Drosophila melanogaster: one gene and its partner. The gene in region 1 interacts genetically with each later gene. Each region holds a gene or a part of one and is shown on either strand. Other genes may lie near its edges.

Evidence for each region. Genes that interact genetically often act in the same process or in processes that back each other up.
Region 2: of Cpn (region 1) and Calx, changing one suppresses a phenotype caused by changing the other (phenotypic suppression), as found in Drosophila melanogaster (one study listed by BioGRID).

Annotation. Positions count from the first base shown.
Region 1 is NT_033777.3:12,161,587-12,168,719, forward strand, and holds Cpn (calphotin), read right to left. Parts: upstream 4,601-7,133; 5' UTR 4,535-4,600; intron 4,088-4,534; 5' UTR 3,965-4,087; coding exon 1,370-3,964; 3' UTR 1,301-1,369; downstream 1-1,300. UniProt on the Drosophila melanogaster protein: Plays important roles in both rhabdomere development and in photoreceptor cell survival. Might function as a calcium-sequestering 'sponge' to regulate the amount of free cytoplasmic calcium. It binds 0.3 mole of Ca(2+) per mole of protein.
Region 2 is NT_033777.3:20,975,488-20,982,189, forward strand, and holds the start of Calx (Na/Ca-exchange protein), read left to right. Parts: upstream 1-2,695; 5' UTR 2,696-3,633; intron 3,634-6,702. UniProt on the Drosophila melanogaster protein: Na(+)/Ca(2+) antiporter that couples the energy of a Na(+) electrochemical gradient to the movement of Ca(2+) against an electrochemical gradient across a membrane, which contributes to the regulation of cytoplasmic Ca(2+) levels.

The DNA.
Region 1 (7,133 bases):
CACATCGTTTCACAAACAAGAACCATTTCAATTTGGTTCATTTAACCGGAGAGGATAGCATTTATGGCAGTAAGTGCAGAGAGAAAAGCGAATGAAGCCTTAAACAGAGTTCAAATGACAGTGAAAATCTTTCTGCAAATCCTCCAGGCAACAATTACACATTTGGCTGTGACTCGGACCGAGTTGTTCTGTGCTGGCATTAATGCGGTTAGGCTGTGTAACCTTCATCCCAGTCGCATGAGAATAGCCGACTATCCCCCTCCGGAACCACACCCTCCCCCCGCTCAAAAGTGCCAGGAAGTCTAAAAAAGAAAATTCGTTTTTTCCCAGTTTCGGGTAGCTGTAGCTGTGGCTGTTGTTTTGGTCCTGTGCCACGGCATCCTCGGCATGACAACTTCACTCTGTTGCTCCATTTGCAACATTTATGCGATTTCGTATGTTGCTGCCTGTCGGTTGTATCTGGTGTATCTGTGTGCGGGAGGTCATTTTATTGTTTCCAGACAAAATGGTCAAATGGGAATTTAGCTTTTTTGGTGCTGTGTGTGTGGGTAGCCGATAGATTTAGATTGAACTGTCGAACATGTAACTGGGTTCTGTCGAATTCTGCCCATATACAAGCCCAACAAAAAAAGGAAAACTTTGGGAGATAGCCGACCAGCTTAAACAATGCAAATGATTAGAATAATCGCCGAAGGTGTTTGACTCAACCGGACTTACTTGCCCCATAAACACAAATTTCAGTTTGCCGCAATAAAAGTTTTCATTTTGGCCCCTTTCGACCGTTTTTACGACTCTCGATTGACTTTTGCGTCAGGACAGATCAAAATAAATTCCATGGGCTCATTTTTAAATGAAATCAATAAGGGATAGTCTTTATATTTAAGCTTTTGAGGAAGCGTAAGCAGGAGCTTTAAATTAAATTATTCATTGATAAATTTCCAATTATCAGAAGTCGCCAGCTTTCTCGATACAAAAGCAGAGAGGTAACTCTAATTTATGTCGTTTTTTCGCTGACAAAGTGTGGGAAATATTCATTCATTTTCCCCGTTTACAATCGTCTGTATTTATGTCCCACTCCCTTTTGGAATGCTAATTTCCACGGGAAAATTTTCGACGCGCTTGCAAATTAGGTTCTGTGGCTGTGGCTTTGGAACCAGCTATGCTGATATGTCCAAAAAGTGGAAATGGTAGATTTGTTTTGGTTGCATTAATTTTGCACGGAACAATTTGTGACAACCTAGCCATACCTTGGCTCTTTTAACCCTATTATGAAAAGGAAATTAGTAATAAATTTGTATATACTTTAAAATTGGTGAAATAACGCTTTATTAGTAGCTTTACTTTACATGATCCAGGCTTTAAACTTGAGCTAATTGGATTTGGGAGGACCAAGAATTTTCTCGATTTCGCAGAGTCTGTCCATTACCTGCTGATTTCTGGCCTTTTGATCCTTTAGCTTTTCTCCAATGGCATCCAGGGTGGCTGCAATAGCCAATAGCGAAACATCGGTGGTCTGAAGATCTCTTAGCAAAGGAGTTATCTTTGCTACGGGAACGGAATCTGAGGGTGACGATGATTGTTCGGGGATTTCCGAAGTGGGAACCTCTTCAACTGCTTTCTCTGCAATGGTGGGAACAACTTCAGATATTCCCACACTAGTATTGTCTGGGTTGTCCCCGGCCGTAATTGGTACTTCGGCAGCTGGAGCTTCAGAAATCACTGGTTCTGCGTATTTTGAAACCTCCGGGACTGGTGCCTCTATTGGGATGGTGCTCTGTTCAACAATGACCTCTGCCGGCTTTGTCTCTGTCTCTGGAATTTCAGCTACTGCGATCTCTTGAGGAACCGGAGGGTCAATGAGCGGTATGGCAGTATCAGATACTTCTGCAGCAGCAGTAACGATTTCAACAGCGGGTGTGGTGATTTCGGTAGCTGGAGCACCGTCATTAATGTTTGCAACATCTGGTTCCTGAGTAGTGACAGGAGCTTCAGTTATGGCAGGATCCAGGACTTTTTCGGCTACAGGATACTCAACCGTAGTTTCTGGAATCGATGTTGAAGTTTCTGTCACCGGCACCTCTACAGCATCCACTGCTTCCTGGATTACGACAGGTGCCTCCACAGGTATGGGTTCTGTAGGGGTCGCTAGGCTTGGTTCCGGTTCAGGTATGGGCTCTGGAGCTGTAATTGGAGCGACAGCCACTTCTGGAGAGGCAACTGCTTCATTTGGCGGCGGTAATGAGGTCTCTGGTATTGGTGAAGATGTTGATTCTGCAGCTTCAACAGCTGGCACGGATGTAGTTTGTTCTAATAAATCCGGAATAGGAGCTGGTGGTTCCACAGGCTCGATTATTAAATCCGCAGCTGCCTCAGGTGGAGCAACGTCTGCAACTGCAACTTCTGTTGTAACTTCGACAGGCGGTGCAACTGGCGTTTCAATGGCAGCTTCTGATAGTACAGAAACATCGATAGGTTCCGTAGGCACTGCCGCAGGTGGTGCCGTGGTCTCGGGAACAGAAGCCGTAGTTGGTGGAGTAGAAACGATGGGAGCAGCGGCAGACGGAGCTTCAGCAGGTGCATCAGAGGGTGCGGCGATCACAGGAGCAACTTCTGGTATATCTAAAGCTGCTATGGTCACTGGTGCTGATGCTGGTGCTGGTGTCTCAGGAGTTTCTTCAGCCACTACAGCTGGTACAGGTTCGGCAGCCACAGGAGGGAGAACAGGTGGCGCTAAGTCGACAGGAGTTTCAGCAACAGCACTAGGAACGGGTGATGGAGCGATCACCGGAGGTAATTCGGGAACAGCAGATGCAGTGACATCCGGATCCGTTACTGCTAGTGTTGCAGGAACTGGTGTCGTGGCAACGACTGGCGCTGGTATTGATTCTGCGGCCACAGGAGGTACAACGGGTGGTGTTGTCTCAGCAACAGCAACTGAAGCAACTTCTGGGGTTTCTGCAACAACAGGTGGTGCAATGGTTTCTGGCTCTGGGGCTGGAGTAGGAGGTGTAGCTACAACAGTATTCGCAGCAACTTGGGACTCGGCAACGACTGGAGCAAGGGCTGGCGTTTCTGGTGCAGTTGTTAGAGTCGCAGCAGCTACCGGGGGCTCAGTCGAAGCACTTACAGGAGCGACCACTGCGGTCTCCACAGCTGGTGCAACCGACACATGGGGGGAAGCTGCAGCCGGAGCAACGACTGGGGTTTCAGTAGCCGGTGGAGCAACGACCACTGGCTCAGCTGCAGCTAGTGGTTTCGTTGCCACGACGGAAACCTCGGGGATGAGAGGTGCAACGCACTCCGGTATGGTTGCAACCGGAATCTCAGCAACAGGTGGTGGAGCTGGAGTCTCGGCGACGACGGGGGCAACTGCAGGAGCAACGGCAGGCGCAAGAACTGGGGCAACAACAGGAACAGCAGCTGGTACAGCAGCTACAGGTGCTGCAACGGGAACCGTGGTGTTAGCGGGAACCACAGGTGGTGTGGCGATCACAGGCGAAACAACGGGAGTCACGGCAGCCGGAGTGGGGGCAGAGGCAGCAACAGGTGGTGTCGCTATCACAGGCGCAGCTACAGGAATTGGGGCAACAGGAGTGGGTGTTGCAGCAACGGGAGGTGCCACTGGTGCTGAAACAGCGACCGGAATCTGAGCAACAGCAACGGGTGGTGTTGAAACTGGACTTGCTGCCGGCGGAGTTGGAGCTGCAACAACTGGAGGCGCCACAGATGCGACAGGAGCGACGGATGCGGCAGCAATTGGAGCTGGAGCTGGAATAGTAACTGTTGCCGGTTGCACACTTGCAAGGGTGGGCGGTGGAGCAACTGGAGTGACTGCAATCGGTGCCGCTGGTGCGGGAGCCACTGCCGCAGGACTTACTACTTGGACAGGGGCAGCCACTGCTGATGGCGTCACAGGCGCAGCAACTGGTGCTGAAACAGGCGATGGAATGGTTCCTGGTTCCATGTCTATCCTTTGCCCACTTTCACATAAAAGTTAATCCGTTTTTTCCTTTTGGGCGGATTGTGCCTTGTCCAATGCTTAGTTGCAAAAATGTTTCATGGCCAGCTTTTCATGGTCAGAAGACAACTGAAAACAGAGGAATGAAAACGAGAAAAACATGAGACATGGCAAGGCTGGATCTGACCATGATTTAGGCCATTGTCTTAAATAAAATTAAATCGATGAGAAACCACGTAAGAATGAGAAAAATAAGAATAAAAGTTCTCCGGAAAATACTGATTCAAATATCTATACAATAAAATTACATTGATTAAATGAGATTAGAATTGTCTTCACTACATGAGAAGTAAAAGTAAGAGCAATTGAGTTAACTAGTCTCTTGCTTCTGACGTCTATTCGAAATATATTTTTCTTTTACAAAACTGTAGTTGCTAAATTATGTAAGAGAAAACAAGGCACTTGCACAATTTCGTTCAAAAATTCGAAAATAAGCGGTCAGCAATGAAATGGTCAACTATTAGGAACTGCCTCTTAGGTAAGTCAATCCTTTTGAATATTTTCAATATTATTAACCAATTTAATTTGTTGAATAGTTTTAAACAGCGACCGACTTGCCGATGAGAAAAACGGTGTTTAACTGGCCCGTTGACTCAGTTTTCTTGGACATTTTTACCTCTTTTCATTGGTTTACCTTCGGTCAGAAGTCCGACAACTGCCCATTGAGCGCAGAAAGTATACGCATAGTTTCAAGTGCTTTTTGCGTTTTTCCAATTCCCAGACACTAAGGTGCTTATCAGCTGACCTTAGCCACATATTAAATTTGTTCCGGCTCGCACGAGGAAACATTTGGCGCTGAAAAGTGTGCTACATGCGTTGGCGCCCACCACTGCGTATGAGTGATATTCGCATATTATTCGATTATCGATTCCGTTCGCATCTTGCCAAATGCATCGGGTAGATAAATCGGGGAAACGCTTTCAAGAATTTATTCGCGATCCAGTGCATATCGCTTACCACTCGCTTTGTCAGCTGCACTCGCAGACACATAACTGGTTATTTACACAATACTGATTACTTTGCCGTATTTGCAATGTAGTTGTCAACAAAATGCGACAGGTTCCCGCGCTGCCCCGCACTGCCCCGCCCTCACCCGACCCTCCACAATCCATTTGCTATCGTGGCCCATTCAATGTCTGATGCAATGACAGTTGACAAACTGCCACTACGTAGCCGTTGGATCGGAACACATTAGCTCGGTGGAAATGTAATCGCAAAGAACTAAGAAATAAATCTTTCAATTTTTCGAGTGAATGCCGGGTAGGAAGTGCAGCCAAATGTAAAGCAATCCACAGAGGCAGCCGGCAGTTGCACATGCCGTCCGTTGGAGCAAGTGTAATGTGATCTGCGTACAATTTGCAGGCGTCGTTTTAAAAAGTCCAACACCAACACGTCCACCTACACCTTCGCCTCACTTGCCCCTCTGCTGGCCGGGAACCGAGCACACTTGAGACTTTTGCAAATAGTTTTTCCACATATGAACAGAAAGAATTTTTCTCGCAGGATGGAAAATAAAAAGAGTTGCGAACGAAAAGAAAAGAAATACATACATATATATAAATAGACGAGATGGGAAAACGCTTATATGGAAATGATTTCACTGGAGAAGTGGAGGAGCGATGCGGAGTAGTTGTGAAGATTGAATTGGCAGTTCAATTTCACGTATTATTGACATTTAAGCGTAAGCATTTGAATATAAACTGAACCCGGCTCAGGGATTGAATGCTTGGAAGGCCGAGAGCGAGTCCTTTCACAGGATGCACAGACATTGGCTGCCTATTATTTTCTGTGCGATAAATCAATCGCATGAAGCAAAATGCAGAGAAAATACCAAGATAAGTGGAAATGAAATTACATCAAGCATACAAATTGTATTTATACTTTATTCTATCTCCTCCTGCATCACTGAACTCGACAATTGATCTGAGCTGCGAAGGAGTTTGCGTACCTCAACAAATACATTTGATTTTCTTCGAATCTGTGGTCACTGATGAGTGATCTCAAATTGTAATTGCCAGCAATAGAATAGAAGTTTTTGTCATATTTTACAAATATTTCTCAAACAATGTTTTATACCGAAAAACAATACTCGGATGAAATCCATTCCCTGAAACAATGGATATTGCATTCCTGGCTATTTTCGAAGGTGAGGCGATCAACTACAAAAAAAAAAAAAAAACATAAATCAGCGCAGCGTATACACCTAATTGCCGTCATTTTGCACGCACTGTAAGAGTGTGGAAAGTCGGGCCCGTGTGCGATTGGAAAAACCAAATACAAATATGAATACAAATGCGGGGCGAAAATCGAAATTGCGAAATGTGGCAAAAGGAGCTCAAGCTTCAATCCGGAGCCGCTTCCGGGTGTATTTTGCTAAATTGCAAATATTTCTCAATTCGCATGCATCAGCAGAGAATGCAATGCAAACAATTTTCACCCAGCGGCCACAATAAAAAGGGAAACCCCCGGCGAACGCAAAAAACCCAAAACACCCACACGCAGAAGGGGCACACAAAGTGCTGGCTAGGCAAAAAAAATTCGCAAAAATCGGCGCCGTATGGCAACCCTGGTCGCTGTGTGGCTGCTGCAACTATGGCGCAATTTATTTCCAGTTTGATTGGTTTTTTCGTGCTTAATTGCACTTGGCTTGCGGGGGGTGGGCTGGTTGGTGTGTTTTCGACCATCCAATTGGGATTGGTGGGGGCGGTAGTGTGGGTGATGGCTGGTAGTTGCCCCAATTGGTTGAAAGGTCGCGCTCATCACGTGCTTTAATAATTTATTCAAATTAACACGCGTCAGCCTGCCTTTCCGCTTCCCTGGGAAAGTGTCTGTTACTGCGTTTATGCGGAGTGCATGCTGCAAACTATAAATCAATTAAATAATAAAGAGGAAAATATTCATTAAATATATATATTATTATTGTTTAAACATTTCTCTCTTCTCCGTGCAAACTAGTAGATCCGACACTTTCCATGAACATTCTTATTCTCGAAGCGTGCGGCATAAACATGATATGGCCCAGCGGGTGGCTCAGACTGCGCTCGGTTAATGGCCAACACTTTGTGGTCAGAGCAAACCGGAAAAACTGGCAGGCAAATGCAAAATATTGCACACA
Region 2 (6,702 bases), 8.8 Mb from region 1:
CGGTCAAATTGTTGGTCATTACATTGAAGTTCAACGAATTAAAAAGCTTGGCATTGTCGTTATCAAATGAGTGGGTCTGAAAAAGCGGCTCGGGCTGGCTAATTGAGAATTTCAAGTTGTGAATTGTGAAAAATGGATCAGATAGCGATTATAGGATGTTCAATAAGCTCGGCTAGACCGATAAGATCACACCCACGCAGAGAGATACGCCCAGACATTCGAGTTTAATTCGCTGCTGTTTTCTTTTAGCCAACTGTCTTGTTTTCTAACTTAGTGAAGATGATCATTAGCATTGGGGATAACGATAATTATGGCATGTTAGTTATGAAAGAAAATGAAAACTAAACAAAATTATTATTATTAGTTGTTAACAAATTATATTGAGTAATTAATAATATTGATCGATGGATGCTGATGTGAAAGAGATATGATACTAAACTAAAACGAAGCAAAGCAAAAACCAAACGAGGACAAAAACAAAATATAAATAACTCATAATATGGACTACAAATATTTATAAACAAATGCAGAATTATATAAACGTTCGATGGTCAAAGCAAGAACTTGAAACAAAACAAAAACCACAACAAATTTGTCAACAACACGCAGAAGTAAAAACTTGCATGTAACAACAAAACAATGAGTAAACATTTTTAATTTTTTGTTCTTTCGCCCTCCGCTGTAAATGTATTTGTAGATTTAAACAATGATTAAAATAAAAAACTACATAAATAAAACTTAAAAAACAAATCAAAATCTTTTATTTGCAAAAACATGTGGAAGTGGGGTTTAAAAAAAAAACGTAAAATGAGACTTAAGTTGATTGCAAATGCAAAGAAACGTAATTTGTAAAAAGTGCTTAGATTTGTGATCTGTCATTTTATTTCGTAAATGTCCTATGATTTCATGATTGCTATTATTCATTCATTGAATTGAGTTGTCGTGCCAAATAATCATACACATCCGAAATAAAAATCGCGACAGTTTTATGCCTACACACCAACTGGAAACGAGGCTATAAACATAAATATATTGCTCATACGCCCCGTGTTCACCCCTGCCGAATGAGTTGGGATCCGTAACGAAAACAAACAGAAAGCGGACGAAAAAAAATGGACGCCAAATACAAGGTAGCAAAAGGTTGTGAGCGCACACACTGGCACACATGTTCCTGTACTGTACTGTACTTACAGCAATGGCGTGCAGCGTTTGCTTCTCTTTCGCTACTTTTGCTGCTTTCGCTGCTGCTGTTTCCATTGCTGCGTTTATATGGCCATAAGGCTAACGCTATTGTCGCGGCAGGTCTCTCAGGGGCAACATGGGGAGGTCGTTGCGACAGCGGCAACATTTGGGTCTTATTAATTTCCGTTTTGCTTATTTATTTTTACGACGCCTCGCACAGCTCGCCATTCGGTTCGCAGTTCTGGGCCCGTCAGCAGCCGAACCGCCGAGCCATCCAGGTCCCCAAATTCTAACGCAGTCGCCATAGTCAAAAGAACATTCGTAAGGAATTCCACCTTTAAAGCCCCGGTGATACCCTACGATTATTTAGAGAGGCATATTACACAACCGTAGATGGGGAGTACTAAAATGTTAATTCATTGCTTAATTCGATTGCCTTAATTTGCTGCTTTAGCTTTGATTTAATACATGAATTATAATAATAGAAGAGAAGAAGATTACTTTAAATTAGGAAAACTGATTTATAATTAGAAAAAAAAAACTACAAAATATTATTATTTAACTTTTTAAGTGAAGTTTTTATGGCGCGGTATTAAAATATGTATAGGTATTAAAATAAAATGCATAAGTGACTTGAAAAAGTTCGTAGGCGTGATGCTGCATAGAGAGCCAAGTAAAAAGGCGCAATCAACTAAATCAAAATTATACAGGGGAAAGCCATTTATCCGGTAAAACACATACCAATTAAGTTATTTTTAAAAGCTGACTTCAATGCGATCAAAAGCTTTCTAGCCAATTTGAGTTGGAATTGGCGATGTACTTCTCAAATTTGGTTTTGAATATAAATAAATATATATATTTAAATAAAATGTATATGTTGAGATCAATACTGTACTTCAACGCGTGAATAATATCATATTTTAAGCTTAAGAAATTATAAAACAATACAATTTTCAGAAATAAAAGATTTGGCCACGTGAACCTTTATTGGGTGTTGAAAATTTATATTTTTTTGCACCCCGATCTGCTAGTAATCACTTTCCCTAACGGTGCTTATTGTTAATAGACTATTTTCCAAGCATAGAGTACAGCAACTTGTTTCCAACCGACTTAACAGGGGCGTCAAAAACTTATGCGCTTGCTTGTCTAAGACAGCGGGTGGTAGAGGAGGGGGTGTGGGTGTGGGCTATACTAACCAGCAATGCCTCTACACCACCCTCCCCGCCAAACCTTTACACCCCCTGCGAAATGCGCCACTGCAACGAGAGGAAGATGGGGAACATCGGAGAGCGACAGCGAGAGAGAGCGGCGCAGTTGTTATCGCCTGGCCAGTGTTCCACTGCCACTCTGTTCCTTATCCTGTGCACTTTCTTCCTTATCTGTCCCGCTTTCACCGCCCTCGCACTCGCCACTCTCACTCTTCGTGTGCATTTCGGGTGCCCTTCGTGTCGCGACAATCGGCATTTTTAAAGAGGCAGTCGGCCAATGTGGCAGTCGGTTACTGGCTCGCAGGTTAGTCTTTCATTATCCGGCGTTTGAGCGTGTAACGTTTTCTCCGTGATTTCCACACGCAGCAGCGGTAAATACAACAACAACGACAACGAAAGAAGCAACCAAAACAATAACAACAACAATAGAAGAGAACAGCGGCAAACGGTTTTTCGCTGCGCTTCTCCTATTTTAAGTGCCGAGCGTTTTACTATTTTTACTACACAGCGAAACATACACAGATACACATATATACAGAAATATATGTAGGTATTTGTTGATGTGTTTGTTGTGCTTCAGTCAACAATAAAAACAAAAACAGTGTTTAAAGCTAGTGAAATGATCTTCCATAAATAAATTTTCAAAATTAATTTGAGAGCAAAAATGAATTGAAAGAAAATGCCAAGAAAGTGCAGCAAAAAATCAACAACGATGCTGTCGGAGAGTCGAAACTAGGCTAAATATCTTTGCATACTTTTGGGAAAGTTGTGCGGTACAAACACACACACCCGTTCGTAACACACACACACAGGACCTGCGCCTGCGGTCGCCGACTTTTGAACCTGTTTTCTGACCATTGACCATTGACCACCGACCGCCGTGCCGGCCGCCTCTTTTCACTTTTGGCAACGCGGACTGCAGCAGCCGCTGCAAAAAATGCAACTGTAAAGGAAGCTGCAAGAAAAGGAAAGGATGTGCACGAAAACGGCATAAACCTACAAAACTAGCCAAAAGAGTTCAGAGCGGTGCGGTTCAACAGCCTCCGGGTGTTCGTGTCAAGCTCGAAATTCGCAAATTCGGCGTCAGCTTCGTGCATCTGTATCTGTGTATCTGTATCTATATCTGGTGCATCTGTGTGCGGCCATTCTGCAGTTGCAGCTCTGCAGCGGCGAAAATTGTGTCAGCAGCATCGGCAGCGGATCCTGCAGCTCGCCACACTGGCGCCTCCATCTCCGATTGCCGGTAATGTATTCGTTTTAGGCGCATTCTACCCAAGCACGACTTAATCATACGCCACATGTGAAGTGCCGTGCGGTATGGCTAAGGCATTACGCATACGCCCCGTGTATGTGAGTATGAATAGTGCGGGCGGTCTTACCTTGACAACGGACGGGGGCAGTCCGTGACAATTGTCAGTTTGTTTTCCCATTTTCGTTTTTCTATCGATTAAGCCCACTGGCCCCTCGTTCGCCCTTTGTCTGCGAATTAGCGACAACTTCTGGGCCAAGCAGCATATGGCTATGTCCACCGTCTTTGTCTAACGCCTAATTGAGTCTTTTGTGAGTATCAAGAGACGAGCAGCACCGCAGAAGAAAAGAAAAGCAAATGGGGAATCCAGTTGACATCGGCATAAGTTCGAGTTTTAAGTTCCCTTGTGGACAGCTGGTTTTTGGGCTTTCTCGACTATCACATACCATAACTGCAATGGACTTTTTTTGGATCATTTTTCAAATTCTGGGCGTTACATATTTTCTTGATCATGATCGACTCGGCTTGTGATCCGGAAATGTATTTACTGTAGAGGATATAACTAACTATAAATAAAGCTGTATGGCATCCTAGCTTTGATTCTTACACGCTGTAAGAAACGAATGTCAGTAAGGGATATAATGTTAACATTCCAAAAGGCACGTCTCCCATATGAACATATAAAGTATATTAAGACTCCCAAGAAAAAGTAAAGAACTTCGCCAGAAAACGTTAGGCTTATGATTTCAGATTTCAGAGCATTAAACCACAAATGATTATTTATATGAAGTATATTTTACTGTCCCGCTTAGATGAAATTTTTCGCTTATACTGTAGACAGTGCCTAAAGTATCATGCCATCTGATAGGGTATCCATAGAAAGGAACCAAAGAAAACAATCAACACGGAGACTAGTAAACAATTGAAAAGCAAAAAACCCGCGACTCCTGCCCAAGTCGGCCAGCCCCTTGAGTTCTTTTTTCATTCATAGGACGATGGGTGGTAGCATTTGCCTTTGTCAATATCATTCAAGCTTTCATTCGCTTCACTTGCCTGACATTTGCTTACCATTTCAGTTTAGAGTTCACTTTGTTTCCCTTTGTACAAATAAATAGCCATTTATTCATTCACTCGGTTAAGGGGCTCCTTTTCACTGACCAATGAATGAAGGAAGGTCGTCCCATAAGTATTTGTCAATTGGACACAAGTTACAATGGAACTCAGTTTGGGGCTTTATATCTAATCAAACTAAATGGCAGCCATTAACTAGCTAGCTTAATCAAGTACCCAACATCAGCATGACTCGAAGCACTCAAAATGCTCGATTTTCTGATTCTGATAAGAGGAATACCTCGGGTAATTTAAAATTGAGTATGCAGCATATTCAGCGAAATGCAGAAAATCCAGATGAAACAAGATTTTGGAAAATTCATTTAATTTATGGCTCCGTCAATTAAAAGCAACAGACCACACAGCCAAACCGCAGTACAGCTCTCAGATGAAAATTCAGCGCTTTAAAGGCTTAGAGAAAAGTGGCAGGCACTCAAAAGCTTAGGCCTTGCATACGTAGCAGCCGCAAACAGTGGCGAAAAATTCTACTTTTTTCCATTTTCGGTGTGTGGGGCGACCAACTTTTCTAACTAACAAAAAAATAAACCGCGCACATGTGTACACAAAAGAAACTCGACGAAGAAAACTGCAAATATGTAACAAGATTCGGTCATGTTTGATTCATGAAACCAGCAGAAAGTTCCAGCCCCTCACCCAATTGAACAACAATGGTGAAATAAAGTTACAGTTGCTGTGGCCACGGCAACTGGAAGCCAACATTTCGCACAATGGCGCAGAATCAGCAGCTTTAGCAGCTGCCGTGCTTCCGGAAAAAATAGAGCCCCAAAAAGCATACTTTCGAGTGTAGAGTTTATGCAGGATTCCGTTGCAGCAGAGTTAATCATACATACGTCCTGACAGTAACAAATCTCCAGCTACGAGGCATAAATAAAAAAAAATTCACCCAGCTTCGCTTTACATATTTTCCTGTTAGATTTACCGTGTATGTGGGCATCAAATTGCGCATACGCCCAGTAAGCCGTCCAGATGGGCAGATCTGCAGGCAATTTGATTATGGCCAGCGAGGCATAAAGAACGTAGAGAAATGCTGAAATAGGGCTTACTTCTAAGCCAGCCAAGTCGAGCATAAAATGCAAGCAGAGTTTGGTGGAAAAAAGGAAACGCAAAGGACTCGATTGCTCAGTTTCTCGGGAACGGCAATTAAATTGCGATGGCGATGATGGCGGAGCCGGAGAATATGTATAAATTAAAAGAGATAAAAATTCCATAAAGATGACAAAAATCAAAAGGAAAGAGGAAAAGGCGAGGGCCATAAATAAAGGAAAAACATCTGAAAAAGGGACGCGAAAATGGAGACAGAATCACAAAAATGGCGGACAAGGCGCTGACAGGCGAGCCTTAAGTCAGCTTTTGTGGCGAAACAAAAGACGCGCGAAAAGAACAGGATATTGGGATATCTAAATTACCGTTGTCACGCACCTAAGTTCACACACACTGAGTCAGACACACACATACAGAAGACATACAGCAAGCTAACAAACACACTCACAGCACGTACACATCGAAATGTCGGCATTGTGTCAGCACGGAAACCAAAGTGAAAACCTTTCATTTCACTTCTCTCCGCCCATTCAAATGGTCGAGTTCCATTGACTGAGCGAACAAAGGCCAAGGAAATGATAATTTTCCGCTCAACAGACACAGAAATATCTACATGTGTGTGTGTGTGTGTGGATTCGGTTGTCGAAATAAATGGCGAAGAAATGAAATTGAAACGCTTTCAATTAACTCTTCGCATTGGGTAGCACTTAATCCTTGTCACATTAACTGGAGCTCGCACTCTGGTTTCAATTAGGTCGATGTGACGCGTGTTTGAAATATTCATCGAGGGCCCAGCCAGCAAAGGGCATAATCAGGTGCGTTAAGGTAAATAATTTAAAAGTGTGGGGGGCTTCTCTCCACACTGATACATGTCGGATAACACACACGCCA